Caenorhabditis elegans: one gene and its partners. The protein of the gene in region 1 purifies or fractionates together with the protein of each later gene. This does not show direct contact. Each region holds a gene or a part of one and is shown in the gene's direction. Other genes may lie near its edges. The genes, in order: slt-1, nhr-202 and C04A11.2.

What was found.
Region 2: the proteins of slt-1 (region 1) and nhr-202 fractionate together in Caenorhabditis elegans (co-fractionation; one large-scale study listed by BioGRID). This does not show direct contact.
Region 3: the proteins of slt-1 (region 1) and C04A11.2 fractionate together in Caenorhabditis elegans (co-fractionation; one large-scale study listed by BioGRID). This does not show direct contact.

The regions. Positions count from the first base shown.
Region 1 is NC_003284.9:14,669,834-14,679,757, forward strand, and holds the start of slt-1 (Slit homolog 1 protein), read left to right. Parts: upstream 1-4,494; 5' UTR 4,495-4,541; coding exon 4,542-4,687; intron 4,688-4,730; coding exon 4,731-4,802; intron 4,803-5,249; coding exon 5,250-5,321; intron 5,322-5,364; coding exon 5,365-5,436; intron 5,437-5,488; coding exon 5,489-5,587; intron 5,588-5,636; coding exon 5,637-5,744; intron 5,745-5,812; coding exon 5,813-5,957; intron 5,958-6,012; coding exon 6,013-6,173; intron 6,174-6,644; coding exon 6,645-6,716; intron 6,717-6,768; coding exon 6,769-6,840; intron 6,841-6,890; coding exon 6,891-7,270; intron 7,271-7,835; coding exon 7,836-7,932; intron 7,933-7,981; coding exon 7,982-8,182; intron 8,183-8,228; coding exon 8,229-8,300; intron 8,301-8,355; coding exon 8,356-8,427; intron 8,428-8,475; coding exon 8,476-8,624; intron 8,625-8,673; coding exon 8,674-8,881; intron 8,882-8,925; coding exon 8,926-9,022; intron 9,023-9,321; exon of another isoform or gene 9,322-9,402; intron 9,403-9,631; and 3 more. Other genes in the region: C26G2.2 (Hyphal_reg_CWP domain-containing protein), read left to right, coding at 1-13, 66-297, 729-875, 924-1,064, 1,387-1,467. UniProt on the Caenorhabditis elegans protein: Functions as a ligand for sax-3 receptor during larval development. Acts via the sax-3/Robo receptor to direct ventral axon guidance and guidance at the midline during embryonic development.
Region 2 is NC_003283.11:457,564-467,509, forward strand, and holds nhr-202 (Nuclear Hormone Receptor family), read left to right. Parts: upstream 1-5,024; 5' UTR 5,025-5,036; coding exon 5,037-5,176; intron 5,177-5,223; coding exon 5,224-5,354; intron 5,355-5,394; coding exon 5,395-5,465; intron 5,466-5,595; coding exon 5,596-5,724; intron 5,725-5,774; coding exon 5,775-5,984; intron 5,985-6,076; coding exon 6,077-6,273; intron 6,274-6,880; coding exon 6,881-7,145; intron 7,146-7,191; coding exon 7,192-7,293; 3' UTR 7,294-7,400; downstream 7,401-9,946. Other genes in the region: nhr-203 (Nuclear Hormone Receptor family), read left to right, coding at 2,234-2,376, 2,433-2,563, 2,613-2,659, 2,762-2,893, 3,237-3,446, 3,498-3,694, 3,798-4,065, 4,114-4,215; nhr-201 (Nuclear Hormone Receptor family), read left to right, coding at 8,194-8,327, 8,377-8,507, 8,554-8,633, 8,723-8,851, 8,898-9,107, 9,154-9,350, 9,440-9,809.
Region 3 is NC_003284.9:13,663,052-13,673,459, reverse strand, and holds C04A11.2 (uncharacterized protein), read left to right. Parts: upstream 1-4,631; 5' UTR 4,632-4,761; coding exon 4,762-4,790; intron 4,791-5,303; coding exon 5,304-5,384; intron 5,385-5,463; coding exon 5,464-5,525; intron 5,526-5,571; coding exon 5,572-5,707; intron 5,708-5,756; coding exon 5,757-6,084; intron 6,085-6,288; coding exon 6,289-6,511; intron 6,512-6,711; coding exon 6,712-6,911; intron 6,912-6,986; coding exon 6,987-7,108; intron 7,109-7,159; coding exon 7,160-7,259; intron 7,260-7,307; coding exon 7,308-7,346; 3' UTR 7,347-7,502; downstream 7,503-10,408. Other genes in the region: C04A11.5 (Oligoendopeptidase F), read right to left, coding at 8,330-8,433, 8,650-8,796, 8,843-8,864.

The DNA.
Region 1 (9,924 bases):
CTGAAACAACGCCGTAAGTTTTAAAATTTTTCAATTGTTGGTTTCTCAATGTTGTACTTTTCCAGAAGAAAAGAGAAAATGTTGATCTTGAAACTGCAAGTACCCGACGAGATTGATGTGAATTCCGTGCAATTCATCAAGAACATCACGGCCAGTTTGCGAAGACTGGTTCGAGATGTGTCGACAGAATTGAGGAAACGCAGGAAACGTTCACTCAACGTGACTTCAATTGATACGAGGCAATACCATGCAATACCAATTGCAGATTCAGACGACGTACAAAGTATACCCATCAAGGTATGCAACAAAGTTTTAGCTATACGAAACTGTGATGACTGTAAGATGCGCGAAGTTTTTACACAATCTTTATCACTTTCACTAAAAATTATTTCGAAATTTATTTTACGATAATGTAGCGCTAATTAAGTATTCAACAGTTATCATTTTAACTGTAGAAGTCAACAAATTTTTTTTACAGGTTTTAAATTGCTCTTATGATGTACATAGTAATTCGTAAAACGTTGAGCATGCAAGTAAAGTTTAACTCGGAAATTGTCAATTTTTGAACTATTGGTGAAACTTTGGCTGAGATGCTTCAAAAGTCTGAAACATTTTGGAGCATTTTTTATTCGGATTTTTTGGACCAGTTTGAACAACTTCTGAATTGAAAATTACTGCGAATAGCGAACTACTGGCAAATTTAAAATAATGCAAAACATTAATTTCAGGTTGAAAACATCACCAAATCCTTAAACATAACTGTGGTCATTTTCGCTTTAGAATTTGACCCAGTTGTGAGCAATGGAGAAGAAGAGCTGGAAAAAGCTCTTCATGAAGTAGACACCTATAATTTGCACAGATATTTTTCTTTTGAGGTAGACAGGTATACATTAAAATTTTAAAATTAGAATATATATTTGCAGCCCGTGGAAAAAATATCATTCGACAGGACGCTTGTAAACGAGGAGAAGCTGCGTGAAGTGCTGTTAGCTTCGTTTGTAGCATTATTCCTATTTGTTATAATAGTTGTGTTTTATTTGAAGAAGAAGGGTGTTCTGGAACAGGTTTGTTTCGAAAGTTTGGATATTGGTACTTTAACTTTCGAAAAAAAAAAAAAAAAAAAGATTGACCAAAATAGTCATTTTTTGAAAATCGGAAGAGAACTATTCTGTGAAAAAATCCATTCAAAGGCGGAATGGCCGAAACATTCATAACGTGAATAGATTTGAATTAGTCTAGAAAAAGGTTCTTGCCAGCTCAATTTTTTAAAAATAAAAGTTCAGGTTTAGCTAAAACCTATAACGTTGGCAGCTTGGCTTTTTGGGCCATTTTGTGTTTTTGAAGCATTACAAAATATCGCTACTGAATTAAAAAAATTAATTTCAGTTATTCCGGAAGCTGGACCGAATGAAGTGTAACACCCTTTCTACCCAACCAAGTGCTTTCTCTCCAAACTCGCCAAACTGATTTTTTTGCGAAAAATCACCATACTGCCAGTATAAACATGAAACATGACATATGAGTATTGTATTAGAATATCGTATTAGCTTCAAATTGTGATACATAGAAAATGAATTATATCATTAAAGATTTTTTCTTCAAATTTTCATAGCTATTAATCGAAAATCAAGTCACAATCTCTCATAATATGTTACAAGGACATCCATTCAAAAACGACAAAACCGATTCAAGGATTAACCAGTATTTACCATACAATGTACATGACAGTTTAACACAGCATCATCCGCAATAGGCACATAATAGATTCCGGGGGGCCCATTATCGAAACTTACGCCGAGTAGGTTATGTACAGTGAGAATCGTTTAGTGTTCTCGGATGAATGAACACAGACGTACAGTAAACACTGAAGAGAGGAGGAGGGGGGGGGGGGGCACTCATTGAGACCATAGGGCAGCATTTTCGAAACTTTAGTTTTCACACAAAACGTTTCATTTCATTACATATTGTATTTGATTACTTTCATGTTTACTCAAGTTTTATTGATTTCTCGAACTCTTTGATATATGTTAGATGGTGTTTGACTATGTTTGGCGGCACGAGTGAATCAGAAACTCTGGGGATGCGAACGGAAAGTATACACGTAAAATATGCAAATCGGTTGAGTTTCGCTCAAAATTTGTGAGTACAGTTTTCAATGGTTTTCAACTTGAAATTTTAAAAAAGGTTTTTTATAAATTCAGTATGAAGGTATTATCTTAATTTTGAAGCTCTTTTTTTGCATGTTTTTTTTAAATTTCGGTTAATGAGAAAATCAATTAAAACATAGAAGTAGGTATATGCTTAGATCCCTCCGTATACAATTTCTTAAACAATATTTCGTTCAAAATCTCTATGCAACAAACTGAAAGAAATCTATTACCGTATTTCCTCTATTAGTATTGCATCCGACTACTTAACTTTGAAACGTTATATCTCGGTTGATTTTAAAGATATAAATACATTATAAACTACGAAAGAATAGAAAAAAACAAACAAATATTTTGATAGTTACCAATTTTTGAATTGAACAAACGATAACTGAGATATGAGCTGTAAAAGTTAAACAATGGGTGCAATACTAATAGAGGAAATACGGTATTTGGAAGAATGTGCATAATTCTTGCAAATGTTAATTTGCCCAATTACATATACTGCAACTTGTTTATTTTTCACTTGTTCTGGATGTTTAAAAAAATTAAAATATATTCATTATTCTTATACCTTTGCACAATTTTTTTTCTAACCACAACACTCTGAACTGACAATTTTTCTTTTACAATTTTTTTCTCGCAATAGTAACAAAAGCTCTTTTCAACAAACGTGTAATATGAGACAATTTATATAGGAAAAATGAAGCAGCGCGCCCTTATTTTTTGTTCTCCCAAATGTGTTCTGTTACTTTGATGAGTGGTTGTTGTTTTTCTTAAAATGGCACTACTGAGAAAAAATACCTTAACATTTATTTAGGTAGGAACCGTAAATTTAATATTTCCATTAATTTTTATTAAAAATGAAGAGTAATTCATAATGTTAGGTTAGGTATTTAAAGGTGATGTAGTGCCAGTGGGGAAGTTGTTAAAAACCATTCCTATGGTCCCAAAACGACCAAATATTATAATAAAAATGTTCAAATTGTTTTTTTTTGAATTTTTTTATTTACTGTCATAAAATGACAATAAACAGTTTTTGCCACTCATAATTTTGGAAGTCGACCAAAAAAAAATTTTTTTTCTACATTTTTTATATAATAATTTTGTTTTAATTATTCGCATTAAAACATTGTAGGGATCTGAACATGCGGCATTGCTTTGGATTTCCTCAAAAGTTCATATTTTTGGAGCACGGCCATGCACTACATGTACCTTTCTTTATATGTGGAGTACCGAAATCTGAGACTTTGTTATGGCCGCTCAACGTTTTTGAAAAAAAGTGTCTATTTTCAGCTAAAATCTCAACTTTTATCAACTTTTCGGTGTCACAGCGGCTGGAACTTAATTTTTATTTGTTGATCATTTTTTAGTGTAGGTCTTCGCAATTAATTACCTTAATTATGTCAATTGGGATGGTTTTTCGGTCAATGCGGGCACAAATATGATACAATTTTGTGCCCGCATCGACCGAAAAAGCATCCCAATAAACGAACTAAAAAGTTGCCAAAATTTGAGATTTTAGCTGAAAAATATACCATTTTTTTTCAACACTTTAAGCGGCCATAACTTTCTTTTGAAAAACATTCTGAACATCTCATTACGAAATTTGGTAGTTTCGGAGTCTTTTGGTCTAAAAAAGCAAAGTCTCAAATTTCGGTACTCCACCTTTAAAACAATTTTGAATCCCCCAATATCGCTTGTGTTTCTCTCGCTAATTATCCAAACAACGAGATTAATAAAGTATTAAGACGACTAACCAATGTGTGAACCCTCGCACATTTTCCCTTCCTCATCTACTTTATCATTCCCGATGAATATTAAATAAGTGCACATGGTAATAGTTAGTATACACACCCATCAGTATAGCTATCTCATCCATCCAATTGTTTTGCTCCGAGACACGAGAACAGAATCTCTTTATCATCATTGTGTTCAATGTCACCCGCCTACCCCATTTCATTCTCATTCTCATCCGGCACACACACACACACACACACACAAGTCTACAACTCTTCTTTTATCTGTCATTTGTGTTGGTTTAAGTGGTGTGTGGAAGATGCACGAAAGTGGGACTTGTCTTCTATCCCAATGTCTCATTATCACACTAAAACATTCGCTCTTTCTAGTTTTCTGCTGCTTCTCTTTTTCTACCCTTCCCGGAAAGTTTTCGTGTCCGTACCCACCCCTATCCCAACTCTTTTTTCCCTCACAACCACCGCCATTCCACACATAAATCGTGTCTCCACGAGGTTGTGTTAATGGACCGGCAGGATGGGAGGACAAGACAAACATCTCATAAAACATTAGTGGACCACCCGCCACTTGTCTAAACTTCATTTTGCAGAACTGAACTACTAATTTCATTGTCCCCAAGGATTTGTGGATGTCGGAATGCTGATTTGCTTCATATTTATTCTACTTATACCTGAAAGTGCCACGTGTCCGGCAGAATGCGTGTGCGTGGACCGAACTGTGTCGTGTGTTGGCCAACAACTCACAGAAGTTCCACAAAATATCCCGAATGATACAATTAGATTGTTAGTTTGCCATGGTTGAAAAAATTATAAATGTTGTTTACAGAGATCTACAAGACAATGAAATAACCAAAATCGGACCGAACGATTTCAGCAGTCTTATGAATTTAAAAGCTTTGTAAGTTTCACTTGGTGTCAGAGTGTCCCTTTTTGGTTTGATCTACGTAGGTCTAGTTGGGAGTTGATACGCAGGGTTCTCAACAGATTTCGCATGGTTAAGAACGTTCTGACGTCACTTTTTGTGGGCCAAAATTTCCAGCATTTTTTGTAGATCAAACCGTGATAGGACAGCCTAAAACCACTCGAATTTTAAAGTTGAACCATTTGAACACTTGAGATAATATCCCTAAGATCAGATCTTGTTTGGGAAAACTGAAAAAAACTCAACTAACGTCTAGTATAACATCATGGCTTCAAATTAATTTTTTTGGCGCAATTTCAATAGAGCAATTTTTGCGATATTTTTGTCGGTTCATATTTGCAACAAGAACACAGCCCTTCACTTTGAAGTACAGTAAATAAAACAAAACAACCCGTTTTTTTTCAATTAAATATTAAATTTCAGACAACTTATGGACAATCAAATTGTCACTATTCACAATCAAAGTTTTAGTTCTCTGGTATTTCTTCAAAAGCTGTAAGTTTCGTAGTCTTGAAAACCAATAAACTCTAGTTTTCAGGCGATTAAGCAGAAATCGTATACGCCATTTACCAGATAACGTGTTTCAGAACAATCTGAAACTTACTCACTTGTACGTTTATTCTTCAAAAAAAAATCAAATTAGTTATTATTTTCATTTTCAGAGACTTGAGTGAAAATGACATAACAGTGGTTTCTGACGCACAACTACAAGGTCCTGAATTTTTGGAAGTCTTGAACTTGGATAAAAATCATATCTTCTGGTAAGTTTTTTTCAATCCGGCTATTCTATTTTCCTTTCTCTTCTTTTAGTCTTGAGAACAATGTGATTTCTTCTTGGGTGTCTCTAGAAGTACTTACACTGAATGGAAACCGATTAACAACATTTGAAGAGCCCTCAAATGCAAGATTCCGACAATTGTAAGTTGCTTGTTTTTGTTTTCAAAAAAGAGCATACCATAGAATGTTTAAAGAAGTTTGCTTTTAAGGGACCTTTTCAATAATCCTTGGAATTGCGATTGCCGTTTGAGATGGATGCGAAAATGGCTAGAAAAAGCAGAGGGGCAGAATAAAACAGTTTGTGCAACTCCACTCAACTTGCAAGGGTCCTCGATAGAAATTCTCCAAGACAAGGTAAATTTTAACTTTGAAGGAAAAAAACGTTGTTAAATATTTTCCAAATTTTCAGTTTATGACGTGTTCCGGAAACCGAAAACGTAGATATAAGAAAACCTGCGAAACTGCGGAAATTTGTCCACTACCATGCACGTGCACTGGAACGACTGTAGATTGTCGGGATTCCGGGTTGACATACGTACCAACAAACCTTCCACCGTCTACCACAGAAATGTAAGTTCTTGTAAATTTTTTTCAAATGAATTGAATAGGTTAACTTATACATGAAATAGGGAAATTTTTGGTTTTATTTTGTGAAGCCTCCCGTGATTTTTGTTTTAAAGTGTTGAAAGTATCAGAGATGTGTGACGCTTTTTTTTTTGAAAATTTACAAAATTCATATTGCTCAAAAATTCCAATTTAAAGTACTTTTTCTAAAGAAAATAGCTTTACGTTTAATTAAAAATTTCGAAAAGTTGCTGTTAATCTGGTTAGAAGTTGCAGAATCTCTTAAAGTTTTTGAGCGTCGTTCTTAAAACTTAAAACTACATCAAGACAACGTATTTCTAGGAAGTTAACAATATTATCTATTTAATTGTCTTAGAAAAAAAAACATTGACTCAACAACAAAAAGAGAACCTGTAAACTTTCCAAGAGTGCCAAGAAGTGTCAAAAAATGTTCTGAAAATTTTTCTTTTGTTTCAGAAGACTCGAACAAAATCAGATTTCATCAATTCCCTCTCACTCCTTCAAAAATCTGAAGAACTTGACACGACTGTAAGTTTATTTTCATCTAGCGTCTTCAGTTTTTGCATCTTTCTGATTTCAGAGATCTGAGCAAAAATATAATCACTGAAATCCAACCGAAAGCGTTTCTCGGTCTTCACAATCTGCACACATTGTGAGTTCATTGGTGTCACTTTTGTTCGAACTCATCAAATTGTATTCCAGAGTGCTCTACGGGAATAATATAACCGACTTGAAATCGGATACTTTCGAGGGACTTGGAAGTTTACAATTATTACTCCTCAATGCCAATCAATTGACGTGCATTCGGAGGGGAACATTTGACCATGTCCCGAAGTTGAGCATGTTGTCATTATATGATAACGATATCAAGTCAATCAGTGAAGTAACATTTCAAAATCTTACCAGCTTGAGTACACTGCATCTTGCCAAGAATCCACTGATTTGTGATTGCAATTTGCAATGGCTGGCGCAAATAAATTTACAGAAGAATATTGAAACAAGTGGAGCAAGATGTGAACAACCCAAACGGCTGAGAAAAAAGAAATTTGCAACTTTACCGCCAAATAAGTTCAAATGCAAAGGTGAGATCAAAAGCAGGAGCGTTGCTTCCTGAAAAAGTTAAACAGAATCTGCGCAATTAGATAAGACAAATGAAATAAACCCGTAGAATACCGCTAATCTACACAGTTTGCCACAAAGCTTTGAACAAGGCTTTTATGCAGGCGCGAAAACACCTTCCTTGCCTCCTGTATAACTCTGCGCGAAACCCGAAAACTGTCGGCCGCTTTGAAAGAACCGCCTTTCGCCATATGTGGTGCAAACACCAAGCCTTTGACGTGAGGTTTGCAGGTTGGAGGCAGGCGTCAGGCTCTGAAACCGCTCATGCTTCCTATGAAAGCCCAAAGTTTGACCAAAGTTTCGCACCCAGTTTTTGAGCATATTGCATTTACTGCACATGTAGCCAATCTGAAATTTCAACGTAGCTCCTACGTTGAAAAAAAGTTTTTAACTGACTACAAATTTTCCCAAAAGTTGAGATGTTGCGGAATCTCTAGTAAACCAGCAAACAGTCCTACCACCGGAAAATACTTCAAATTATTTCCTTGAATTTCGGAAACAATGAATCCAATATAACTCAATTTCCAGGTTCCGAGTCATTTGTCAGCATGTACGCCGACTCTTGTTTTATCGACTCAATTTGTCCGACTCAATGTGATTGCTATGGTACAACTGTTGATTGCAAGTAAGTACCTAAATATACAAAAATTGACATTTACTCGCTCGAATTTCAGCAAGCGTGGACTTAACACTATTCCAACTTCAATTCCCCGCTTTGCAACACAACTCCTCTTATCTGGAAACAATATCTCTACCGTCGATCTCAATTCTAACATCCATGTCCTAGAAAACCTGGAAGTTCTAGATTTGTCAAACAATCACATCACATTCATCAACGACAAGAGTTTCGAAAAACTTTCTAAGTTGAGAGAACTGTAAGTGTTTTCCTATTTCCAATTTTTCAAAAATAAAATTTTTCAGAAGACTAAATGACAATAAACTACACCATTTTTCAAGTATGGTTTTGGATGAGCAATCAAATTTGGAAATATTGTAAGTTGAGGCAGCGAAAAGTACTACAAAAGTTAACCATGTTTCATTTTCTCAGAGACTTATCAGGAAATAACATTCAATGCTTCTCTTCTATATTTTTCAACAAAGCTACCCGTATTAGAGAAATGTGAGTTTTAAATTTTAAAAGGGTATGTACGTAATGCTACGTTTTCAGTAAAGTAATCGGTAACGACTTGCTTTGTGATTGCCGAATCCTTCCGTTAATGTCTTGGCTTCGATCAAACTCTAGTCATTCAATCGACATTCCACCATGCCAGCAATTTCAATACAGCGATAATGAGTCAGATAAGCAACGGTGTGCAGGTATCACATTTTGTTTTATACAAACTGAATCGAAGAATTTACAATTCAGCATTCCCCGAAGAGACATGCTCTGATGACAGTAACCTTTGCCCACCAAAATGCTCCTGTTTGGATCGTGTCGTCCGGTGCTCAAACAAAAATCTCACCAGTTTCCCGAGTAGAATACCATTCGACACTACAGAGCTTTATCTTGATGCCAATTATATCAATGAAATCCCAGCTCATGATCTGAACCGGTTGTATTCTCTTACTAAGCTGTAAGTTGATTGATTGAGGGTAGCGGGAACGTAGAGAGTTTCAGAGATCTTTCACACAATCGACTCATATCTCTGGAAAATAATACGTTCTCCAATTTGACTCGGTTATCAACTTTGATCATAAGCTACAACAAACTGAGGGTGAGTCAAAAAATAACTAAAAGAAGGGGTAGTGGATATGGGAAAATTAATGGAACTCACAGTATGAAAAAGCAAAAGTGGCTGAAAGTAGTGGAATTTCAAATTTACGAGCAAGAAACAAATTTAGTTTGCATATTTTGATTGTTTTATTTTTCAGCGGAATAAAATTTTCGGTACATCCCCAATTTTTCGGACCGAACAGATTGTCAATATTTTGCCACCATCCACTACTCCTTCTTTACCTATTATAACTTTTATACCATCACGTATCTCTTTTCAACCTGATTAGCTACTTTTCTCAACAGCCGCCATAGCTCAGTCGGTTAGAGCGTGGGTCTAATAAGCCCAAGGTCGCAGGTTCGACCCCTGCTGGCGGCAAAGTTTTTGAATTATATGTGAAAGCTTCTATATTTCTTATCAGTTTGATTACAAAATTTTACAAAATTACAAAATTTATGATAAATTGTTATTGACAATTTAAATACGAGTATATGTTGTTCAATTTTTGAGATTTCATGTTCATTATATTTAGTTTTTTTTTCAATTCAGAAAATTCAAACCATCATTGAGATATTTTCAAGACCAACACAAATAATGAATAATTTCCAGTGCTTGCAACCTCTTGCTTTCAATGGATTGAACGCTCTTCGCATTCTTTCCCTTCATGGTAACGATATCTCATTCCTGCCGCAATCCGCATTCTCAAATCTGACTAGTATCACTCACATGTAAATCTTTTTTTTCTTTGATTTTCCGTCTTTGTAATCTGAGAATTTTAGAGCCGTTGGTAGCAATTCGCTTTATTGCGACTGCAATATGGCATGGTTCTCAAAATGGATCAAATCTAAATTTATTGAAGCTGGAATTGCAAGATGTGAATACCCAAATACGGTTTCTAATCA
Region 2 (9,946 bases), on another chromosome or scaffold:
AAACTACAAGATTTAAAGCAGGAGAATCGTTATTTGAAAGTTTGAATCTTTAAAGTGTGTTGTCTCACAAAAACCAAATCAAAGGATTAAAAGGGTTTAAGGACGATCCGTTTTTTAGCGTTATGGGCCCGGATCTATCAGGTACACTGCCCGGTGGTGAACCCACTGGGCTATAATATTAGCCACGTCCTAGACGGGGACTGTGGCCGATAATCCAGTCGTGGATTGCCCCACTTCTCAATAGAGGCAGGGTGAACCTAGAGGATAATGCCGGACGATTGCTAGCGGCCACCACTACCGACTGATTGTGAGCTATCCCAAAAACATGAAACTGTGCTAATGACAAATATATTTTACTATAATATTTCGTTGTTTAAGCAACATAAATATGAGTCGTTTCAAAAATTCAAAAAAAAAAACTATTGAAACTTTTTTGGTAAAAATTTCGTAACAGGCCGAAAAACAAATAACGAAACTACTCAATGTTTATCAGCTGGCGGCTCGACAATCAATTTAACATTAACATTGAACTTTAAAGTCGTCTCAAATAAAATAAAATGTTTGCAAATGAATCAATACTATTTAATTTACCCCTTCCTTCCGCAATACGTTTTTTCTTGAACTATCTGCGCATCCTCACTCTCTTTTTAGATGTTGTCATGAGTACGACTTTGAAACATTTTTATTCAAATACGAGCGCAATAAAATATTTATATTCGAACCTCTTAAATATACTAACATTTATGTAGTCTAGAAAAATATTTTTCTCTTTTAATGGTAGCCTTAAAAATACATTTTTTGGGATTTTTGAAAATATTAGCGTAGTTACAGAGACTGTGGTACATCGACCAGAAAGAAAACAATTGCTATTTTTTCAGGTAGTACACTTTTTTGCTTCTCAAATATAACCAACTTTTAATAATTTCCAATTTCGAAATTTGGCCACTTTTCCGTGTCACATCTGTTTGAAGGCGACTTTTTTAAAATCATTATCTTTTATTGCATATTTTGGTACTAGTCTGAAATCACCCCGCCACTTTTTTTTATCATTTTAATATTATCCATTTTAATAAAACGTGATGTCAATTTTCCATCTTTAGGCTTAGAAACGGTTATTTCCTAAGCCTAAAAATACAAAAACTCCACACGTTTTTATTTGAAAATTTATTTAAATTTAAAGAAAAAAGTGGCGGGGTGATTTCAGACTAGTACCCATATTTTGGTGGTTTATTTCATTTAATTTCGTTGATTAAAGTACATTTTTAACCAAAAGGTAACCAAAATACATCAAATTTGCTTACATATTTGTTTTAAATGTATCACATTCAACAAAATTAGGAGACGTATACTAACAAAGTGAAGATGCTACCAAATTCCAACAAAGTCAACTTCGGACCGCTGCGACACAGAAAAGTGGACAAAATTGGAGATTTTGGCTAAAATCAATGTAATTTTTGCTACATTTGGAACCGCTTAAAATGTTATGAATTTCAAGTTTCATTACGAAATTCATTTATTTCAGCCCATTTTAAATTTAAACTAAACACTGATTGCAATTTTTGTTAGTTAATGTTGTGTACTTAAGACTGGACGAGGAGGAAAAGACGAGTAGGTTATTACATTACTAAACTAATAATCAGGAATTGACAACTTAGTTAGTGAGTTCAGTCGTATGTGGGTGACATGGGTCGTAGACACGCCAATACCCAACATTTAATTTTTCATTCTAAATTTGACAAAATTATTTTTAGAATTGTCTACGTTCAAGTACATGTTCCCAAAGTATTTCTAAAGTGTAAAGAAATTTTTACCCATTTTTTGTGTAAAAAAATACTCGATTAAACTTTTATTTGTTTATTCTGATTCTTCTTTATATCAAGTTAATTTTGTGAATTTTCAAACAAAAATTTCAATTTTTTGGAATGTTAAAATATCTTCAAAAAATTGTGAGAACCCGCGCGCTCAGTTCCTTGCAGAAAGTCCCCTTTCTTATCTAAACCTGTATCAGTTTTTGTTCGGAAAAACTTCAATTTCTAATCTCTAAAATTTACGTGCTCACTACAACATACACATTCTGTCTCTCCACTGAACTATTCAGTTAATGATTGTGAGCAAATTTTCATAGATCAAAAGTGCAAACACGTGATATCATCGTCTCGCTAGTCTCTGACACATTTCTTTTACTTTTTGTTTTCAATTTTTTAAACTTTCCAAAAAAACTAACTTTTCATACATGAATGCCTTGTGCTCATCTAGCTCATCTTTTCCCGATCTCATAGTTGCCGTATCGGAAAAATGCCCGGTTTGCTGGAAACACACAGCACACGGAATGCACTTTGGAGCATTCACTTGTCGAGCTTGTGCAGCTTTTTTCAGGTGAGCCTGTGCGCAATAAAATGATCAGAAAGTGTAATATAATAGAAAAATTTCAGACGTTTCGCTACTACAAAAAATCTTAAACCCTGCAAAAAGAGCAATGTTTGTGAGTTTACCAAAAATGGATATACGAGTTGCAAAAAGTGCCGACTACAGAGATGTTTTGATATTGGAATGAAAATTGACAGTATGCTCAAAAAAAGTTTGTATGAAAGAGCAATAAGTTATTTTTTCAGATTTCCAATTTGAGAGGGATCCCTATAAAAGCGGAAAAATTCCATTTGTAAGTTGGCCGTCGAATTTTTTTAGGCCAGGATGTTCTAGGCCAGGAAAAACTTGGCCACTGATTTCTAATTTTATTTTTCTTGGAAAAACATTTTTCCAGACTTTGGACACCTACCTTGACAGGCCCAGTTTGATCATTTTCACAGCTCTTGCAGAACTTGACTCACGAGACTCGAAAGTCTACGTTGACGTTCAATTTTTAATTGATCGAGCGTTCAGGGAGCTTTTACAGGTAATCAAGAGTTCCAAAAATATTCCTGCTTTAATAGATAATTTGAATTTTCCGCCAAAAATGTTTTTCTCAGAGAAATTGAATTTCCCGCCAAACATTTTTTATTCCAACAATAAGAGAAATTGAATTTCCGCCAAAAATGTATTTCTTACAAAATTTGAACTTCCCGTCAAACATTTTTTTCTTATAAAATTTGAATTTCGCGGCAAATTTTTTTTCATAAAAATTGTCTTTCCCGCCAAAATTTTCCTCGAAAATTTGAACTTCCCCCAATACTTTTATACCGACCACAACAAGAACTTATTGCCATGCTCCCGGAAACAAAGAAAAATCGATATTCCAGGGCTGCGAATCACCTATCAGACAACCGAACATCTTGAAAAAACTGGCTCTAGGCCTGGAAAAAATTCGCAGTACTCAGTGCAATGTGACAAAAATCCTGTCAAAATTCGGGAAGGACGAAGTTCTTGCAATGTGGGAAACTGATATGTTGAAGATTGCAAAATGGTTCACATATTTCGACAATTTCCAGAAACTTCCATATAATCTTCAGGTTTGTGCCGGTAGATCAAACTTATACTAATGAAAAAAAAAACTTTTGCAGATCGATATGATCAAGCAAGTCTGGGCTATTTGGGCGGCAATGGAAAAGCTGGCAAATACTGCAAATGCTAAAAAAAATTCCACATGCGAAAGTGCGAATGTTGTGCTTCAGATTGACGATGATTTGGTGGCCTGTGAACAGTCGATCGAGATCGATCTTTCCTGGTGCTCGAGTTATAAAACCGAGCAGTTGCAGTTGTGAGTTTTGGAATCCACAGCGGCCGACATCGATCGAGGCTTGCGATAAATGTCGGCTGCTTCTTATCATATACCCGGAGATCAACGATAATAACATTTTCAGCTTCGACTTTGACCATCAAGCTCAGCTCGAATATTTAGTGCAACTAATGGTAGATCTCAATCCAACAGACGAAGAACTCAGTTATATGCTATGCCATATTTGCTTCGAACATATCAAAAAATCATGTGACAGGTTTACTCAAGAAACCGTTGAGCAGCTTCAAGACACCCTTTCTGATCATTTACATGACTACTACATAAACCATGAAAACCGCCCGACTTACTCAGGAAGGATCGTTTCAATGATAAAGCTCAACAATGCTTTTCAGGTTTTTTGTTCTATGAATTCTAAAATTAACCTTTTTTTGAAATTTCAGAAGTACGTCCAGCGGGAACGACTGAAATGTGAACTGATGAGACTGTTCAAAGTGTTATTCGTGGAGTATTCAAATCCTGAATTATTTGTGGATTATTGGTAGTCAATGGAAGTGCGGAAGATCTCAAAAAATTATGTTTTTTTTTTCTAAAAAAAAATCATTTGTTTGTATCTCAACATGCTTTATTATTACGGCAAAACGACGAATAAAATATTTTAATTTGAATTTAACTCTGGATTTTAAATAGAATAAAATTTTGAATTTTGCGTGAAAATATAATACTATATTGGACATAATTCAGGAATTCCAAAATTATTTTTTTGAAAAAATTAGATTTCCGCGGTAAATTTCAGAAAAAATATTGAAGTCTAAGTTTCGCGCCGAATTGTTTGAAAATTTTGAATTTTGCGTCAGCTCTCGCCGAGCTATTTTTGAAAAAAAATTACAAATTTTTCGAAAACTTCAATTTTGCTGAAAATTAATTGAGAACGTTGAACCTTGCGCTGAAATTTCTGTAAAATGTTTTTAAAAAATGAAGGGTTTTGCTCAAAAATAATCACGCACTACAAACTACAAAAACTACAAACTATAAATAAACCATTATTTTTAAATTTAAAACCCTATGTTTCTTGAGCATTTAGAAGATAGTGATGCCACTTTTTACATTAAAGTCGACAAAAATTTTTATTAGGTCACTTTTTCCTATTATTATACTCTTTGATCTTTCAAACTGTAGGGCACCCACACATACACTACAAAATACGCGTTTTGTCCTTCCATTTTCTCTGCGCTCTCTTCAAAGTTCAACAAATAATTTTTTCATCATATGGTTACACCGATTTGAAAATGTCTTTATTTGATTTTTACGCTGGTTAATTTATGCTGAAACAATACATTAAAAATACATATTCCAGGAAAACAAAATGGATACCCCTTGCTCATCCGGCTCCTCACCACCGGACCTCACCATTTCTACCACTAAAAAGTGCCCGGTTTGCTATAAGCCGCCCCATGGGATTCATTTCGGAGCGTACACCTGTCGAGCTTGTGCGGTGTTTTTCAGGTAAATTTCTAATTCTAATATTTTAACAATATTTTACAAAATTCCAGGAGATTCGGAGCTTCAAACAATCTCAAGCCATGTAAAAAGAACAATGTTTGCGATTTTTACAAAAATGGATATGTGAGCTGTAAAAAGTGTCGATTAAAAAAATGCTTCGAAATTGGGATGAAAATTGAGAGTAAGGGATCTGGCTCCCTATTAGTACTAGTTTTTTTCAGACTTTCAATTCGAAAGGGACCCATACAAGAGAAGTTCAATATGCATCAGTCTAGCTGGAAGAATTCCACCGGTAAGTTGTCTTATAAAAAAACGGAAAATTGTTATTGAGACTGAAATAAGTGGCCCGACATCCTCCGGGTTCCACGCCTCACCATCAAAAACCCAAACTCAAGGTCGGGCCATGCACATACAATTTCCAGACGCTTGAAACATTCCTTGCTCGACCAAGCTTTATAATTCTCACTGCTCCACCAAAAGATGCACAAAATCCCAAGGTCTATATCGATGTCAAATTTTTGATTGACAAGTCCTACGGGGAGTTACTAAAGGCAAGATATTTCCAGCTAGTACAAGCTTTAACTAAAGTTGTGTACTTCAGGGCATTGAAACACCTATTCAAACGTCGAATATTTTGAAAAAGCTGGCTTTGGGTTTACAGCAAGTCCGGGGGTCTCAGAGAAAAGTAACGAAACGGCTAGAAAAATTCGGAAAAGATGAAATGTTTGCAATGTGGGAAAATGATATGCTGAAAGTTGCCAAGTGGTTCACCTACTTTGAAGATTTTCAACAGTTTTCTTCGGAATTTCAGGTAAAGTTTAAAAATTTTGCAATGTTTTGTGTACAAATTACAATAAAAATATTTTTTTATTTATAAAAATAAAAATAAATAAAAATATTTAGATAGAGATTATTAAAAAAGTTTGGATTGTCTGGAATGGTTTGGAAAAGCTGGCAACTACCGCCAAAATGAGAAAGCGGATGAATTGTGATGATATTCTTATGGTATTACAAATGGAAAATGATCTAGTGGCTTGTGGGAAGTCGGTAGAGTTCGACTTATCTTGGTGCTCAAATTACAAAGCGGAGCAGTTTGCATTGTGAGCATTATTTTAAAAAAATTAAATCATTGCCTATATATTAAAAAATAGTGTACGTCTGTTGACTACGTCATCAATGGGCGGAGCCTCTCCATTTGTGGCGAGACTCATCGTTGCGAGTCCCATCGTGGCGAGACGCATCAAAAGAAAAATATTTCGGCAGGAAACTGAAAATTTTCTAAGAATACAATTTTGGCGAAAAAATTAAAATTTCTGAGAAAAGTTGTTAGCGGGTCTTTCCAGAAAAATCTTGAAATTTCTAGAAAAATCTGGAAAATTTTAGATTTTTCTGGAAACTTCTAGAGTTTCCTACAATAATCAGGAAACTTCTAGAAATATGTTTAGAGTAATACAAACTTGAAATTTTGATTTTGTTCTGAAAATTAGCTGAAACTTAATTTATAAAATTGAATTAACCGAAAAAATTGACTGAAAAAAATTACCCGAATTTTTAGTTTAGTCTCAATTTGGCGGCCAATTTAAAAATGTTTTTGAAAAATCCAATTTCACTCTACAACTCACCAACTTAAAAACGTAAGACTTGAAAATTCATCAATTTTGTTTTACGAACTTTTCGAAAAACATTACTCTCTTACTATTTTTTCAGCATCGATTCAAATTGGAACAAACATGAAGAGCTGCTGGAATTGATGGTACAACTCAACCCAACAGATGAGGAACTTTGTTACATGCTATGTCATTTGTGTTTCCAACAAATTAGCAAACAATGTGACGGGCAAATACTTGAAGCCGTTGAGCAATTTCAAGATTCTATATCAAATCATTTACACGACTATTACTTGAACCATTTGTCCCGCCCGAATTATTCCGGAAGGATTGCTGCTTTGATGAAGCTTAATAGTATTGCTCAGGTATTTTATATTAAACCTTGTCTGGAAAAAACTCTGAAATTTCCAGCAATTCATCTACCAAGACCAAATAAATGTGGAGATTTTGAAAGTGTTCGAAGTGTTTTTTGTAAACTTTTCCCATCCGGAATTATTTATGAACTACCAATAACGAATTCATAATCTGTAAATAAACACCTATATTCTTGGCACATTTTTGCTCTTTTTCTAAAGTACCAAGTGCTCTTCGCACCTATTGTTTGCACTACAAACTACACTATATTATTCCACATCAGACATTTCTCGTAGAGTCTGCGTCTTCTTTTAAATTTCTCGTCATATGCTCGGAACTACCTTTACAACTTTTTTTAAAATCGGAGGTGCTTGTTTTAATTACTTTGAAAAATGACGTTATCTATTTTTTTTGAATCGTTAAACTTTTCAAAAAATATTATTTAGATTTTTCGTTTCTGAAAGAAAATTTGTTTGGAAAAATGTAATTGTTCTTGTTCGTTGACATTATTTTTAAACATACACAAAATCTCAAAATAGTTTTGAAACTTTTTTTTTTTGGATTTTTGGATTTTTAAAATTTTCATGTGTCATTTTGTTATTTTCAGCATCAAAAATTTCAGCTCATTTATGGAAAATCCGATTTTTTTTCTAAAAAAACCTGAATATTTTATTTTGTTCCCCAGCACTTTAGGATATTCCCCCTAAAGCAAGTAAGCTGTGTAAATACTACCAGGTCCATTATAACACCCGCAGAATACCCGAGAAAAGTCGGCAATTGCAAACATGTGGGGAAGAGACCAAAGAATCAATGTACTTTCTTTTGAATGCGTCTGTGTTTTGATGAGTTGAATGACGGAGACGATGACCTTATTCGATTAGAACCACATGGTTTCGCACTCCTGTTATTAGTGAAATTATGTCCGAGAGTATTTGGATTTGAGAGATTTATGTGTTTTTAGATGGGTCATTTGAAGAAATTTTTTATTTTGTTAAAAACTCATGTTAATGCTTTCTTAATTTTTTTGTCATTTGAAAAAAAAAATTTAATTTTCAGAAAATGAACAATCCTTGCTCATCTTCACCCCCAGACCTCACTCTTTCAACAATAGAAAAATGTCCAGTTTGCTGGAAGCCTGCTCATGGCATGCATTTCGGAGCATTTACATGCAGAGCTTGTGCAGTATTTTTCAGGTGAACTCTTAATTTGTAAAGCATCCCCTAGTCAGCTCATAAATTTCAGAAGATTCGGAGCTTCAAACAATCTCAAACCATGTAAAAAGAACAATGTTTGCAATTTTGATAAAAATGGATATGTGAGCTGTAAAAAGTGTAGATTACAACGGTGTTTTGATATTGGGATGAAAATTGATAGTCAGTAGAATTTGTTGGTATACGTCTCAGCAGTTTTTATTTTCAGATTTTCAATTTGAGAGGGACCCGTATAAGCAGAAGCTTGAAATGCAGGCGGCTTTGAAAGTTATTCGGAACATACCACAGGTAAGTTTTTGAAGAATTTTTAGCACTTGGCAAAAATGGTCAATGGGCTGTGACGTGATAGTGCAGCCTAGAAATTCAATCATTTCCAGACCCTAGACACCTTCCTCGGCCGGTCCAGTCTCATAATGTTCACCGCTCCATCTTTTGATGACTCTCCAACGGAAGTTCACATTGATGTTCGATTTCTCATTGACACTGCGTACAGGCAGCTTTTGAAGGTAGGAAGCTTTTTTTTTAGTTTTTCACAAAAAACTGATATTTCAGGGTCCCGAAACGCCAATTAAAACTCCAAATGCACTGAAAAGGCTTGCGATTGGGCTACAAAATCTTCACAGTGCTCAGGAGAAACCAACAAAAGTTATGGAAAAATTCGGGAAAGATGAGACTTTCGCAATATGGGAGGACGATGTGCTGAAAACTGCAAAATGGTTCTCCTATTTTGATGATTTTCAAAAACTTCCCAGTCAATTGCAGGTAAGATTATTATTTTTTCAATAATGATAATTTGTTGAATATACAGCTGGACATTGTAAAAAAAGAATGGCTTGTTTGGAGTGGATTGGAGAAGCTTGCAGCACTGGGAAAAACTAGAAGACAAATGATGTATGAAGACTTTGCATTTGTACTTCACGTGGACAATGAATTAGTGGCGTTTAAGAAGACGATTGAAGTTGATATATCATGGTGTTCGAATTATAAACTTGAGCAATTGGATTTGTAAGTTTCATGTTTTCATGTTTGAAATTACGGATTTCCAATAGTTGCTCCCAAAATTAACCTAAAACTAAAAAATTAAAAATTTCCAGCTTCGACTGCAACTTCAAAGAACGTCACGAACAACTAGTTCAGCAGATTGTAGCCCTCAACCCAACCGACGAGGAATTGAGCTTTATGCTATGCTATTTAAGCTTTCAACATTATATGAAACATTGTCCGAAGCACAATGTGGAAATAGTAGAACAACTTCAAGACTCCATATCAAATCATCTACACGAATATTATTTGAACCATATGAGCCGTCCGAATTATTCGGGGAGAATTGCCGCTATTATGAAGCTCATTAATGCTATACAGCTATTTTTGCTACATGATAAAACCAAGATGGAGCTGATGAAAGTGTTCAAAGTGTGTTTCGCTAAATACTCGCACCCGGAATTATTTTTTGAATACGAATAAGTGACTTTATTAAATAACAATTTTTATTCGATCTCTATTTTTCACTGTATAATTTTTTAAAATAATATTTTTATTGTGGATATAGAGAATTGTTGCATTTTAGAAAAAATGTTTTATGAATTATTTGATCCTTTTAT
Region 3 (10,408 bases), 1.0 Mb from region 1:
TGGCTCACTTGTATAAATTCAAAAGTTTTATTAGAGAGGAAGTTATAAATAAGTAGTGGTCGTGAAACTTTTAAATACCTATTCACTTTTGATTGTAAAAATAAAACTAAGTGACTTAAAAATTGAAATTTTTGCTCAAATCAAAAATTGGCAATTGGCCAAGTATTTTTTCAGGACAGTTTACTCCAGTTAAACAAAAATGTTTACTACTAGGGACATATTATTTGATTAACATTAGTAAAAAAATATTGAAAAGCTTTAAGAGTTACCGCCAGCTGTGTAGTGAAATTTTTGCGACATCTTAAAAAAAAAGCGACTTCCGTTTTGCAGGTCAGTTCACATAACCGAACAGCTGTGAAAAATGAGTCTCACAAAGTTCCGAGAGAACAAAAACCTTTGGAAATGACAACCACAACAACAAAAATCAGCGCATCACATCCACTTTACCGAACAAAAAAGAACAGGACAACTCAAACAACAAAAAAAACTCTCTCTCACAACAAATAAGAATTAAACGGATCAAGTTGACTAGGTACTCGTCCCTGCGTCAAACGTATCAGTGCCGGCATCAAACCGAAAAGTACAGTCGTAAAAGTAGAGAGAGAGAGTGTGGGTGGAGGAAAGGGACACGGCGGGTATAATAAGAGGAAATACAACTGATATCAACTCGATCATCATTTCGACGCAATACGTCGTCTGCGTCTTCCTTTGACTACCACAATTGTTGAACATGATGGAAGATGGCATTGCGGCAACACATGCCCAAATACTACTATTTGAATAATCTATCAATCGCTTCAAAACTGTACGTTAGGATGGAAATGGCGTGAAAACTGAACAGGAAATTCTCATCTGGAAAACTATACTAGTATGCAAAAAATTAGCACCGTACCACAGCCAATAAAAAATTTTAATTGGACAGATCTCGGATTTTTGCTTACATTCTCAGAAATGTGATGAATAAAACTCCCAATGAAAAAAATAGCATTTACCTTAGAATGTTCAATCTGTATATATCAGTATTCTAGTTCGCATATTTTTTGTTCATTAAGGTATATACACTTTCAGTAAAATGTTTTTTGCAACTTTTCCCATACAAACATAGAACAAAAAGCAAAAAATCTGATTTTTTGCCACTACGACAAAAGAGCAGAAAAACACAAAAAAGTTAGGACTGGCAATGTGTTTGGTCGTGGAAAACTTAACGATTATCCATAAAACAAACGAAGAAGCATGTTTCGTCCTGTGGCCTTTCTACCCTTGCCCTTAATCTAGTGCTAGGTTCAATGGGGCAATCCTTTGGAAATGAAAAATGTTATTACTTGTATATGGAAAAAATTTTGACAGCTGCATATTTTCAGTTGAAAACAGGTGGCGGCAAGGAAAAATACATTTTTTAACTTTCATCATCTACGCTTAGACACATAATCTCAATTTATTGACGACGTAAAAATTGTTTTTTGAGACTGTAAAAAATTAGGGGACACCAAAATAATGCTGTTTACAATTTATTAAATCCTAGGAATTTTTAAAAATTAAAAATGTTGTCTTGTCAAAAGTAGAATAGAAATGCTGGTTGAAAAAATAGCTCTGGGGTCATTTTAATACTCAACTACTGTAATTCTGAAAAATGGCTAACCGAAAGCACAAATATCGCATTGTTGATTATGTAATTTTGAGTGCAAGACTACAATTTTAAATGCAAACTCAATTTTATTAGAAAGATTAAGCTCCAGCTTAAGCCCAATCAAGCCTCAATCATGAAATAGTTTAACTTAAAAAATGTGCAAAAAACAAATTATCCAAGTAAGACACTTTACGATATTTTAGTTTTTCAAATTTACAGTCAGCATTTGCCAGAAAAGAGGAAGAAAAAAGTTGGGCTTTTGAGAAATTTTTTATAGGAGAAAACTGGGTAATTGCCATTTTTGACTTTTTATGTTTCCACTATACTATTTTATCATCATATAATTATACATAGTAATGTGAAACTTGTTTTTCTAAGTTTTAATATTTGAAAATTAAAAAAGTATTGACGAGAAAGAAATACCGGAATTTGTTAATAAAATCCTAGTTCCAATTGCAAAAATTAAAGCTCATTAATCTTAAGTCAAAAGAGACGAAAGGTTAAAAAAGAAGGAATCAAATCGAAAAAGAGGAGGAATGAAAAATGAATTGCGGTGCGGTGAATTGAAAGAAATGGTCCACTATGTATTTGATATATTTCAATACATTCATCGCATGCGCCCAGCAGAAACAGCTGTTGTCATCTCAAGCAAAAAAAGAGAGAGTGGGGAGAAATGATGGGTTCATCGTCAGGGGGAAAAGGGCAAAACGAACATGTCGGAAGTTGAAGAGCGATGTAATTCATCAGAAGATGGCAAAAGTATGATGAAGAGGACAAACTAGATAGCCAGTGGGAGGAAGATTTCGGCATATTTTATGCATTGCAACCACCAAACCCATCAACCAACACATGTGGGTTGCAGAAATGTTAAATGAAAAAAAATGAAAAAAGTTATGAAATGTCTAACCATCTCGGACTTATTCAATAGGTTCAAAAGATCGCGGAACTAAACCTGTCAATTGTGAAATAATTCAAGTGGAGAAGAGGGGCGTTGTTTTCAATAACCAAACAACATGTATTCAGCGATCATCTGTTCAATGAGTAGTTAAGAAAAGATTAAAAGTGAAATGTTCTTGGCGAACTTCACTTTTTGTTTGAAAAAGTTGAGACAGACGTTTTCAGAAGAAAAAAGAGAGATTTCAAAAGAAAAAACAACAAGTATGAAGTTCAACTTTATCAAAGATTTCCGTTCGGCAAAATCAGATGTTTCCAGTAGATATGTCCATTTTTTATGGTTATTAACAAGGCATACAATAGAAATTTGTTAGAGTTGATTCGGTGTAATACTGAAGGTGTCGGATATTTTTTTTTTCAAAAAAATAATAAATAAGTGTCAACAAGTCTAACAGAAACATGGAGCAAAATGACACATTTTTCGGAGTCGTACCTTTCATTTGTCAAATTTGACTTGTTTTGCGAATTGGGCAGGGGCAGTGCCAATATGAAGAACAATTTCATACAATTATACAATTTTTTAAGAAGAAAAACTGATAGAAAATCATAAAGAAAAAGTGTTTAGAACGTAAAAAAAATAAAATTCAAGTTCTCATTCTACATTTTGAATAATGACTTTCAGGCTTGAAAAAAAAAGAAATCGCAAATTTAAAATTCTAAGAAACGTTCCGGGAGTTTCATTAATTTCCTAAATGGTTCCCTGATTATTCAAATTTTACAACGGGTTTTTGAAATTTCCAATGTTTTGAATATACAAACAATAACTATTTTTTTGAAGAAACATGTTTTTGCCTACCGGAGCAGAACTTTTTTATTTCCACAACGTACAGTTCAAATCTAACAGGCCTAGAGATCGTCAATTTTCTTATCACCAAAAGAACTCCAAGAATGCCACTAATAACATTACGCAAAAAATCGATAAAATGTCGAAAAACAAGCGAAATGGTCAGTGCGACAAGGGGCGCAGAGCAAACGTGGCGAAAAAGGGTAAACAAAGGTGAACAGTGAAAAGAGATAGTAGAAAGAAGGAGGGAGGGCGTATTTGAATGAATAGTACGCAATTCTCATGTGGTGTGTTTGCGGACCTTGGCAGCGGCAGAGTTGTGCATTTAAATAGGGTCGGCTCCAAAGAGCACAATTAAGTTTTTTGGTTATTAATAAAATTTTAGAAGGGGAATAAACTTTTTTGTTACAAAACAAGTTTCTTATCTCACACTAGATATTTCTTGTCTTCACTGTGATATTTATTGATTTTTTTTGTGTTTTGTGTCAAAATTGAACTAGTTTCATAGTTCAACGTTGTTTAAATAATACTTGAAAATATGTTTTCCGTTGAACACGAAACGAGAATAGTAAATCTAGTGCCTTTTGTTTGAGAAAAGAAGGATAGCGTTAGTTAGAAATATTTTTTGAAAAGGGTTTCAAAAAAAAACATTATGCAAGAGTTAGAAATGATATTACTGAAAAATAATATATATTTAAAATTTGACAAGATTTTTCTTTTGTGTCAATTAGTAAGTTTCTAGGTAATTTTAAAAAAAAAGTCTAACATACCTTGTTAACGATACAGTCAAGTTTGATATTTTTCCACAAAATCAAGACTGAATATTTGCACTAGATGCGTTTAAATTTGGTCGTTCTTGTTTCATATGCTATTGATATTTTCAAGAAAAATTGTTTTTTTTTCAATCCCGTATTCAATTTCAAAAATTTTTCTCTGAATCGGGAACTTTGAAATCAACAAAATCCACACCGGATTTCCTTTGTTGACAAAGTTTTTGGAGTGTGTTTTTCTTTAGCTAGCCGTAAAGGGTCCTTAACTTGTAAAAACCTATTAATATTGTCGTATACATTATTGAATTCATTATTGAATTGTCAGGTTTCAAATTTGTTTTGCCGGTTCTTGTTTTGCACATTTACCTTCTTCCTTTATCCATTTCAAATCCAAGCCTAGCATTAGGACACTGTTCTAATTGGTTTGTTGGTATTCCTTGCCTCATTTCATTTTCTCCGTGCTCTCTCGGTTTCACACAGTCTATTACGTATTTAGGAGCTAATAGGTAGCGTCTGCTCGGACCAAGGACACAAGACCGCCTTCCAGTGCACCGCACCTGTCGTCCTTTTCTATCTCAATTCACTTCCCGGATACCAGTTCAGTTGACTCGGCTTACGGATCAAATATGAATCCAAATGACTCAATGACACTTTGGTATGTTTTAAGTTTATTAACTTTTAGAATTGTTTTATATTTCAGAATGATAATATTCTAAACGTTTTCTAAAATAAAAAGTTTACAAAAAATAAAAAATAAAAACACATCAAACGCATACAATATGACAATAATTATAATTTTTCCATGTAACTTTTAACTTTATTTTGGTTGAGCTCGTGTCACAGCTCTTATTTCCTTCGAATCGCCATCAAAATGAAATTCATGTTTTATAATCTTATTTTTACTAAATAAATTGAACGACGTTTTTAGAAAATCAATTTCAAACTATACGTTTTCGGCACATAATCGATATTTTCCAGGCCATGTCAGTCGGAGAATTCAAAAATATACATCACGTTTTCGTTTAAAAATTAACTTCTAAAAATGTGTCGAGTAACGAAAATTATCTAAACATGCTAAAATAATATGTTCTCAAACGTAAGCTAAACAGTATAAAAAGTTAAGGTGATTTTTTAAATACTTCATTGTCAATTTTAATTATAATTTCAGGAGCTCCTACAAAACCACTGAACAACGTATTGGACCCCTACCATCCACATCTACTCCGTTGAAAACTCCTCGATCTCATAGGTTACTTTTTTTACTTTTTTTTTTCATTTTTACTTTTCCGTTGATTTATGCACATACAACACTGACATAATAATTGCAGAGGTCCGGAAGAACCAAATGTCACTACTATTGTTGTGGATACTGAGCAGGATGAAAACAGAAGTAGGCTCTCCAAAAGTGAAACACGGCTTAGTTAGAGTATTTTCAGATTTGTGCAATTCAACGCAAAGCTTACACATTTCATGTCGCACCTGCAGAGAATTAAAGTTGGAAGTTCAGGAGCTTCGAAAAACTGTTGAAAAACAGGCACAATATATTCAAGTTCTCAAGAAATCTCTCAACTCGTATGTAGTGAACAAGAATGTCTCTCAAAAAATATTGTTTTTTTTTCAGAACAAGTGAAATGGATTCTTCTGAATCTCAACATGGAAATGGGTCAACAGCGAGTAGCGTCACAAAAAGCAGCACACGCGTCCAGAGAGTAACGCCCACCAAACGAGATATGGCATCCAGTGGCAGTACGAGCACAAGTAGTAGTACCTCAACTCCAGTCGTCAGAAATATTTTGCAACAACTAACAACGCCAAGGTCTGCTAGAACATCTACTAGAGCTGCATCAGGAAACAGAACACCTACTGGAACACCAAATATGACGAGAAACGTGAGGCCAGTCACAAATAGGACAAGCTCCAGCAACGTATCCCCAGCAGCACAAGTGACCGTTAGTTTTACAACATAAAAAGCAAACTTATAAAGTTCAGGCAAAATGGGAATAATTAGACAAGTTGCATAAATAATTTGTTTTGCTGTTCCTGCATAAACTAAGCTTTTTGATTTTTAGATGTTATACAATCGTACAGTTAGACTACGTTTTTGTAAAATTGAACAGACTTACTCCTATATTTATTTAATAATTTATTTTCAGCCCGGAACCTCTTCAAATCACCGGTCCAGACTTCCTCCAACGATCCGAGTGCCTCAATCTGAGCCGATTGGAACTCGTTCGCGTCCAGCAAGATACCAATCACAAACACTTCCAAGACAATTAACAGCTAACAATTCTAGAAGATCACAGTCTAGACGAAGGCTATTTGTGGATGAAGAAAGTAATAATGAAGATCGTAATGAGGAGCAGCCTGAAGTTAACCGTAAGTGGCGTAATTGGCAAACTTGAGATTGAATATTGATTTGACTGGTTATTTTGGAAAGTGAGACCTCAAATAAGGTGTAGGGCAAAAAATTAAAATATTTGTTACACCTTATGGAGAATGAATGTCAGTGATATCAGCAGTGATACCAGTGATATCAGAAAAATCATACACAGTTTCAAGTTAATTCTTAACTTTAGAATACCACCGCACACGCAGTGAAGCAGCAATCGAGCATCTCAACATTTCCCCAATGAAGGATGATCAGTGGGCTCGAGCGTGCCCGCCACGAATTCATCTCGAACGAAATCGCCCAGAATTCATCGAACGCGTCGAAGCCCGGCAAAGCATTATTCGAGCTGCGTCTGAGAAACGAGCAGAAATCGAGCATCGAAAACGAGTGAGTGCACTTCTTGAAAAGTCTTTGGATACGTTTTTTTTTTTTTTTTTTCAAATCGAAGACAATTATTTTTAGCTCGCAGCTAGAGCAGTGGCCAGTGGACAAAGGAGTGTAGAAAGTGTTAGCAGAGAGCTCTTTGCTGATTCAACGGCAGTCAAAGCTTTTTATGAGGAAGATATGAAGGAGATGACAATGAAGTATGTTTTTTGAGAACAATTATCTCAAAACAAAAAAATCCCAATTTTCAGAAATATTCGAAAATCCCAATCTTACCAAAACCGAATTCATCAAAGAATTGCCAATGTTGATAGAAAGGCCAATAGAATCATTGCACAAACGCATAGTTTGGTAGGTTGTTCACAATTTTTCCTTTGCCAAATGGTTGAAACATTTCAGAGAGCAAGATCCACTTCTCGATCACGATATCACCAATAACTGCTTCGAATCAAAAATGTATTGTCCTGTAAATTGAAAATGTTCTGTGCCATTTTGATCTCATTAAAAAGTGTTGTACATTCCAGCTTTTAGCATATTTTGTAATAACAACAATAGTTATGATTATTTGATTTTTTAATGAAACAAAATGCATTTATTGAAAAATAATGAGCTGAAAATACAAAGCTGTATGATTATAATGTTATGTTACAGATAGAACCCCCAACTGAAATGAAATTTTGGCGGTTTTTATTATTGCTTTGTTTTATTGAGGAACATGCTAAATTAAGAATCCGAAAAAAGCAAATAAAATGTTATGGTTATTCTAACATGATTATTTCAAACTCTATAAAACAAGAAAACAGTTTTAACTTGTTGTTTCTGTCAACTAACGTTCCTGACCAAATTCCTGACCGTTCCACCAAAACTGCAAAAATATCTGCACGAAGTGGGATTCGAACCCACGCACCCATACGAGTACCAGAACACCCAGGAGACCTCGTACTTGAGGCAAGCAATCGCTTGAGTCTGGCGCCTTAGACCACTCGGCCATCCGTGCTACGAAAGAGTATACTAGTGGCCTCGTACACATGCAAGAGTAACGGCAGAGAGAGAGAGACAGCGAGAGGAGAGAAAGGAAGGGGAGAGGGCATAACATGTGGTACACGTAAGATGAAGACGGGTGAAATAGTACCAAATACAATTTTAGGCGTTCGAAAAAAAAAGTGGTATTGCAAATATTTGGAAACTTTATTGTCAATAATTTCCTGCAACACTCCAAACATTATTACCGTCCAAAATATTGTATTTGTTATCATGATATAAGAGCATTTTTAAAACTTTGATGAATACATGTATTTCAAGCAATCTTTGATTCTTAATAGTTGAAAATTATTAGAAGTTGTCGGTTGATTGGTTCATTGATCTGAAAAATAATGAAAAGGTGTTAAATCAATTTAAAATTGACCTGCCTACCATTTCGCTCATTTCGACCACGATGACACCTTATCTGCGTTCTCCTTCATAAACTTCTCCCGATCCTCATCAAAATGTTGCTGAACTTTTTTGCACAGACCTTCAAGCACACCTAAAAGTTATTTGTCATTTGGATTTTCTACAATTCTGAATTGGCTGTATTTTTTGTGGTGCAAAAAGTTAGTTGCACCTTCAGCTGCGCGAAGCTAAATTTCAGATACCGTCTGCACTACTAAAATTGTCTTTCAAACTATAAGTCGAAAAAAATCTTGCGTGCTACTTTCAAGATAGGTACGGTAACAGTTCTCCAACTCCTATAGATTTTTACCTGAGGTTGCATGTTGCGAACCAAGTATTCCAGATGAAACTTCGTGACGAGACCACGAAGGCAACTTTTCGTAGTTTTGCTTCATGAACAACTGCTTTTCCTCGTTTTGTTGCTCTTGCAGTTTCTGATACACTTTTTGAAAGTCACCTGAAAACATACACTGAATAAATAAACCACGCTTTTTGAAACTTACTTTCTTTTTTCGAAAAACTCATTGCCAATCTGAAAAATAAAGTATAATATTAATCTTGAAAGTGACAAGGCATAAAGTTTGAAAACATTTTGTCAAGCTTTCGTCAGTAAAGCATATATATCTCGGAAACGTTGAATAAATATAACAATGCCTATTGTATTGGAATTCTTATAATCTTTTGTTGGGTTGGCATTGTTAAAAGTTAAAAAAAATTTAAAACGGTAGATATCAACAAAACACCCACAAATTCATGTCATCTTGGAATAAAAAATGTTGAACTTCAATATGTTCAATTTTCCAATGCTTAAACAAAATTTCAAAGATAAAAAAACCAGAGTCAAGAAAACGGATAAGTTTCATAATGGAGTGCTGCAAAAAGTTTGTTTCTCGGTTTATAAAGTTAGTGAATGTGATTGTGAAATCGTTGCGCAATCTCACTTTTTATGCTTTCCAGGAAAATAATTCAAGGTCTGCCAACTAAATTTTTTAGATCAAAATTTTATGGGTATTTATAAATTAGAAATGGCTATTCAATGGATTAAAAAATTTCATTTTCAATTTTTGTGCAATGCTTTCTTAGGCACATTAATATTCGGAAACTGTAAATGGCCTAAATGCCAGTAGCAATATGCCAAAAAAAGTGTAGTATCACAGCATCTCTCTCGAAGACGTATTGAGAACTGCAAAGTGTTCTTTCCCTAGAATAATATCATCTTTAAAAGTCACGAGAAACGTGATAACCAGCTATTTCTTTGTATGATTCGGAACAACAAGATGTCATTCAACCGGTTATGTACTGATTCTCAGTTATATTTTCAAGGTGAAACAAGTATTTATAGAATGATCAATGGAGAGGAATGCAGGAAAATAGAGTGATTGTCGGAATGGAAATTACGTAGTGACCAGGTAGATCGTCTGTTCTTGGGTCAACAGCAGATTAACTTGAAACGCACAATTTTCTCGTTTTTAGAGAATAAAACCTTTTTTATTCTGTGACATTTATTGTCATTTAAAAAAACGGTTTTTAAATGTTCGATTATCCAAAAAAAAGGAAATTGAATTTTGAAGCCATTAAAAATGCACTTTTCTGTGTAAATACATGATTTACTTCCCCAATAATTGTTTAGAATATCTTGCAGTTTCTTTGAAAATTATGTGCAAACCTCCTCTATGAGTTTGTTATGCTTCTTATAATCTTCATGAACACTATACGTACATTCGCTTGTAATATTGGGTATTAGAAATATAAAAGTACCAAATTACCGTATCGCAGAATTTAAATTAGTAAGGACATTTTTACTTATTTTTTTTTCCAGTCGTTTTCATGTGCTTCTCAAATTTTTTTTAATGTACTTTCTCGAGGCCAGTATTCTGATTCAGACATTCATTTAACTTTGAGATTTATTGTGTTTTGCATTGCATTACATTTAAATTTAAAAAAAAATCAATTCAATTCAATTATGTCAATAATGTGTACCAGGTAGTAGTTTTATTTAGTGAGTTGTGTATTCTTAATAATTACGCGTCATTACATTCTTGTGTTCCTTTCAACCAAAAAACTTAAAA